2 linked regions of the Ovis aries genome follow. The protein of the gene in region 1 purifies or fractionates together with the protein of each later gene. This does not show direct contact. Links are inferred from orthologs where the notes say so. Each region holds a gene or a part of one and is shown on either strand. Other genes may lie near its edges.

The links. The genes of interacting proteins can lie anywhere in the genome.
Region 2: the proteins of HADHA (region 1) and GPC1 purify together in Homo sapiens (co-immunoprecipitation; 3 studies listed by BioGRID and IntAct, with this or other methods). This does not show direct contact. The link is inferred for Ovis aries from reciprocal best matches to the Homo sapiens genes HADHA and GPC1.

Annotation. Positions count from the first base shown.
Region 1 is NC_056056.1:33,449,952-33,453,470, reverse strand, and holds part of HADHA (trifunctional enzyme subunit alpha, mitochondrial), read left to right. Parts: intron 1-2,014; coding exon 2,015-2,153; intron 2,154-3,419; coding exon 3,420-3,519. UniProt on the Homo sapiens protein: Mitochondrial trifunctional enzyme catalyzes the last three of the four reactions of the mitochondrial beta-oxidation pathway.
Region 2 is NC_056054.1:1,107,759-1,110,060, reverse strand, and holds part of GPC1 (glypican-1), read left to right. Parts: coding exon 1-48; intron 49-734; coding exon 735-865; intron 866-946; coding exon 947-1,066; intron 1,067-1,152; coding exon 1,153-1,286; intron 1,287-1,618; coding exon 1,619-1,800; intron 1,801-2,302. UniProt on the Homo sapiens protein: Cell surface proteoglycan that bears heparan sulfate. Binds, via the heparan sulfate side chains, alpha-4 (V) collagen and participates in Schwann cell myelination.

The DNA of each region.
Region 1 (3,519 bases):
AGTGGCCACAGGACTGGAAAAGGTCAGTTTTCATTTCAATCCCAAAGAAAAGCAATGCCAAAGAATGCTCAAACTACCACACAGTTGCACGCATCTCACACACTAGTAAAGTAAGGTTCAAAATTCTCCAAACCAGGCTTCAGCAATACATGAACCATGAACTTCCAGATGTTCAAGCTGGTTTTAGAAAAGGCAGAGGAACCAGAGATCAAATTGCCAACATCTGCTAGATCATCAAAAAAGCAAGAGGGTTCCAGAAAAACATCTATTTCTGCTTTATTGACTATGCCAAAAAAGATGTCCTTTTTGGCATCTGTGGATGGAGACTGTGTGGATCACAATAATCTGTGGAAAATTCTGAAAGAGATGGGAATACCAGAGCACCTGACCTGCCTCTTGAGAAACCTGTATGCAGATCAGGAAGCAACAATTAGAACTGGACATGGGACAACAGACTGGTTCTAAATAGGAAAAGGAGTACGTCAAGGCTGTATATTGTCACCCTGCTTATTTAACTTATATGCTGAATACATCATGAGAAACGCTGGGCTGGAGGAAGCACAAGCTGGAATCAAGATTGCCGGAAGAAAGATCAATAACCTCAGATATGCAGATGACACCATCCTTATGGCAGAAAGTGAAGAGATCTAAAGAGCCTCTTGATGAAAGTGAAAGAGGAGAGTGAAAAAGTTGGCTTAAAGCTCAACATTCAGAAGACGAAGATCATGGCATCCGGTCCCATCACTTCATGGCAAATAGATGGGGAAACAGTGGCTGACTTTACTTTTTTGGGCTCCAAAATCATTGCAGAGGGTGATTGCATCCATGAAATTGAGACGCTTACTCCTTGGAAGGAAAGTTATGCCCAACCTAGAGAGCATATTAAAAAGCAGAGACATTCCTTTGTCAGCAAAGGTCCGTCTAGTCAAGGGTATGGTTTTTCCAGTAGTCATGTATGGATGTGAGAGTTGGACTATAAAGAAAGCCGAGCACTGAAGAATTGATGCTTTTGAACTGTGGTGTTGGAGAACTCCTGAGAGTCCATCCTAAAGGAGATTGGTCCTGGGTGTTCATTGGAGGGACTGATGCTGAAGCTTAAACTTCCATACTTTGGCCATCTGATGTGAAGAGCCGACTCATTTGAAAAGACCCTGATGCTGGGAAAGATTGAGGGCAGGAGGAGGAGGCGACGACAGAGGATAAGATGGTTGGATGGCACCACCGACTCAATGGACATGGGTTTGGGTAGACTCTAGGAGTTGGTGATCGACAGGGAGGCCTGGTGTGCATGGGGTTGCAAAGAGTCGGACACAACTGCACTGAATATTGTGTTCTCTTCTTTGTTTATGTACAGTAATTAGAAATTAATAGATATTCTGTTTATTTTTTGAAAAAAGCAGAGTTATCTACATCAAGGACTTTTTCTTTTGGCTTGGTTATTCCAGCCAAGCAAGACATTGATGTACCTAATAGTAGCCACCTAAATCCTTAGGAAAATACTTTCAGCTTCTGTGAGGCTAGCTGAGCCACTCCCAGCACACAGAATGACAGGAAATCAGTTATCTTTGATCAAAAATGAAAAACCCACAGCTTAAATGTGTTCAGAAACAGTTAAGTAGCAAATGAAGGAAACTGAAATTAAAGGATGTTGAGGAAACATTGTTGTAAGAGAAGCTTTTTTCTCTATCATTTCCACTGATGTTCAGTCTAAAAACTACTGACAATTAAAATGTTAAATCTGATCATGAAAATATTTATCAGAAGATGATTTGTAATCTAATGATTTGCTATCAAAGCAGATATAAATTATTCACCATGTTTTGTTCATGTTCCCTGAATTTTATAGAGAGGTGATGTCACTGATATTAGTGCTGAGACAAAATCATTCTTCTTAAACTTCTGAGTATTTGAAGACTCACTACCAAATATTGATATATGGTATAATAAGGTTATGGTGGATGAAGTACTGAACAGTGAGTTTTTTTTCTGTTCTCTGTTTTCATGTTTACTGTAGCATGTTAAATGCTTGTACAACCTCTCAAGAAGTAACCCAAATATCACAAGAAGCACAGAAAATGTTTGAGAAACTTGAGAAGTCCACAAAGCCTGTTGTGGCTGCCATCAATGGATCCTGCTTAGGAGGAGGACTTGAGGTACAGATTTCTTCCAGAGTCATTGAACCGCGGGCCAGCTCATTGTTGGGATCCACCAGCTGCAAACCTTTAGGCCACTGTTTTGCCTCAAGAAAAGCTCTTGAGGGCGAGTCAGCTTTTTCTGAGTCATTAAACTTCTGGATAGGTTTTTAGTCTTAGTCTCATGGCATTGAGCAAGCAAATCAGAGTGGCACGTTTTCATTTATAAATTGAGAAGAGTTGAACTAGATCCCTACGTTCCCTTTCAGTTCTAAAAAACCTTGTTCAAGTTTGCAAGGCAAAAATTCAGAAGTGCAGTTCATGCTCTTGAGCTACTTTAGTTGAGACAGTTAGCATATAGTGTATGTCATGTGTTCTGCGTGTAGTAAAGATGATAAATAACACAAGGTCTGAGAGGAGAGATACTTACCAGACTGGAACACATAGAAAAGAAGGAGGGAGGAAAATAAGAACATTTTTTGGACATTTATCACGTGCTGGGTTCTATACTAGCCACTTTCACACATTAATTAAGGAAAGCTGTGCTGCTGCTGCTGCTAAGTCACATCAGTTGTGTCCAACTCTGTGCGACCGCAGAGATGGTAGCCCACCAGGCTCCTCTGTCCCTGAGAGTCTCCAGGCAGGAACACTGGAGTGGGTTGCCATTTCCTTCTCCAGTGCATGAAAGGGAAAAGTGAAAGTGAAGCTGCTCAGTCATGTCCGACTCTTCGCGACCCCATGGATTGCAGCCCGCCAGGCTCCTCCATCCATGGGGTTTTCCAGGCAAGAGTACTGGAGTGGGTTGCCATTGCCTTCTCCCAAGGAAAGCTGTATATGGTTCTAAAAGATAAGCAGAATTTGATTAACCAGAAAACAGTGGCAAAACATTCCACATGTGGCATGATGTGAGCAAAGACAAGGATAACAAAGCCTAATTAGGATACCATAAGTAGGCCTGCTTGACTGAAGAGTCTTTATAGGGTATAGGGCTTCTAAACCTGAAATACCTATATAATTGTATGTGCATTTTTCTATTGAAAATTTCCATACTTTTCAGCAGATTTTCAAGGGGATCTGCAGCCCTAAAGAGTTTAATAACTTAGGAAAGAGAAATGAAGGAAAGCCAGAAAGGTAAATTCTAGAAAGCATCAAATGCCAGCCTAACAAATTTCAGTTTATTCTGTGGGCACATTCCTGCTTAATAAGTAATTTTTAGACCCTCACATATCCTAAGATGCTATAAAACTACATTTTTTAACATTCTAATTTTCCTTCATTTGTTTGAAGCTTGCCATTTCATGCCAATACAGAATAGCAACAAAAGATAAGAAAACAGTATTGGGTTCCCCTGAGGTCTTACTGGGAATCTTACCAGGAGCAGGAGCCA
Region 2 (2,302 bases), on another chromosome or scaffold:
GCCTAGCCAACCAGGCCGACCTGGACGCCGAGTGGAGGAACCTTCTGGGTGAGCCCCCACTGCCGCGACTGCCCTCAGGGGCCTGGCCCCCAGAGCGGGTGGTCCCCGAGGCTGGGGGGCAGGGTTCCCTCTGAGTCTCCCAAAGGAAGGTGCCATGGCCAGCTGCCCGGAGGGCGCCCTGGGGGCCAGGTTCCTGTCCTTGCCCACTGAGCGAGCATGCCGAGGTGTACACGTGAGACGCACGCAGGGCGACCCACGCCTGAATTACCGTGGGCGTTGCTGCCAGGGGGTGAGCCGGCTGGCATGTGCAGACTTGAGGTGGGTCTCCAGACACACGCGCCAACATGCCTGCAATTGCGTGTGCATCTGCTCGTGTGAGGTGAGCCAGCACGCATCCGTATCGACCCCCGTGGTGACACAGGCCAGCACACATACACACCGAAACACACACTAACGTGGACGTGTGATGGCGTGAGGCAAACGTCGTGAGACTGAGGCGACGTGTGCACACAGTGGGCCAGGTGTGTGTGTATGTGCCGACGGGTGTAAGCTTAGACACACGTGCTCAGCCTGTACACACATGCCAGCACACACCGGAGCTCACGTGTAGGTGGGTTGGCCTGCAGTGAGCAGACACACAGAAATACTGCGGGCTGACATGCCTGTGCGTAGCACAGCCATGGGCCAGCGTTCGGCCATGCAAAGTACCCCGTGTTTCTGTTCACGCTGGCCAGACTCCATGGTGCTCATCACGGACAAGTTCTGGGGCCCGTCGGGTGCGGAGAGTGTCATCGGCGGCGTGCACTACTGGCTGGCAGAGGCCGTCAACGCCCTCCAGGACAACAGTGACACACTCACGGCCAAGGTGCGGCGGGGGGGGGAGCAGGGGGCAGGGGGGGCCCGGATGCGGCCTCGCGCCCGTCAGGACCCCTGCGTGCTCCCCTAGGTCATCCAGGGCTGCGGGAACCCCAAGGTGAACCCCCAGGGCCCTGGCCCCAAGGAGAAGTGGCCCCGGGGCAAGCTGGCGCTGCAGGAGAGGCCGCCCGCCGGCACGCTGCAGAAGCTGGTGAGTGGCCTCTGCTGGGCGGGCCCAGGGTGGAGAGGGCAGGGCAGGCTGGGGGGTGCGTCTGGTGGCCTGACCACTGCCCGCAGGTCTCCGAAGCCAAGGCACAGCTCCGAGACGCTCAAGACTTCTGGATCAGCCTCCCGGGGACGCTGTGCAGCGAGAAGCTGGCCATGAGCTCAGCCAGTGACGAGCGCTGCTGGAATGGGATGGCCAAGGGCCGGTGAGTGTCCCGCCGTTCTGGCCCCTCAGCTTGTCCGTGGCCCCGGGTGTGTCTTGCCCTGCACCAAGTCTGATGTGGGACACCCCGCGGGACCCAGAGCCGGGACGAGGGCCAGGTCCCCACCGCGCACACACGCTCAGTGCTTCCACGCTCTGCTGCAGGGGCCTGTGTGGGCTCCTGGCAGCCCTTGAAGGCCTCGGGAGATGGGGAGGGGGGTCTCGGACTTGCCACTACCCTGACTGGAGGAGCGAGGGCTGGATGGGTGTTGCTGGGGCCAGGCCCCTTTGTGGGGAGCAGGACAGTGACCCAGGGCTTGTCTTTCTGGTCTCCAGGTACCTCCCCGAGGTGATGGGTGATGGCCTGGCCAATCAGATCAACAACCCCGAGGTGGAGGTGGACATCACCAAGCCGGACATGACCATCCGCCAGCAGATCATGCAGCTGAAGATCATGACCAACCGCCTGCGCGGCGCCTACAGCGGCAACGACCTGGACTTCCAGGACGCCAGTGAGGGCGGGCAGGGGGTCGGCAACGATCTGGGCCTCCAGGACGCCAGTGAGGGCGGGCGGGGGGTGGGCAATGACCTGGGCCTCCAGGACGCCAGTGAGGGCAGGCAGGGGGTCGGCAACAACCTGGGCCTCCAGGACGCCAGTGAGGGCGGGCGGGGGGTGGGCAACGACCTGGGCCTCCAGGACGCCAGTGAGGGTGGGCAGGGGGGTGGGCAACGACCTGGGCTTCCAGGATGCCAGTGAGGGCGGGCGGGGGAGTGGACAACGACCTGGGCCTCCAGGACGCCAGTGAGGGCACCCGGGGTGGGGGTACCAGGGAGCCCCAGCTGGGAAAGGGTGCAGGGTCGGGGGAGGCCCTAGATAGGGAAAGGTGGGCGGGGGGGGGGCCCCACCCCGGGGCCCAGGTGGCTCTGAAGGCCCGGCTGCTGCCCAACTGTGGTCCCGATCCCCCACCCTGTTTCCAGGACGGCTGTGAGCCAGCCAGCACGTCCGCCCAGCCTCGGCAG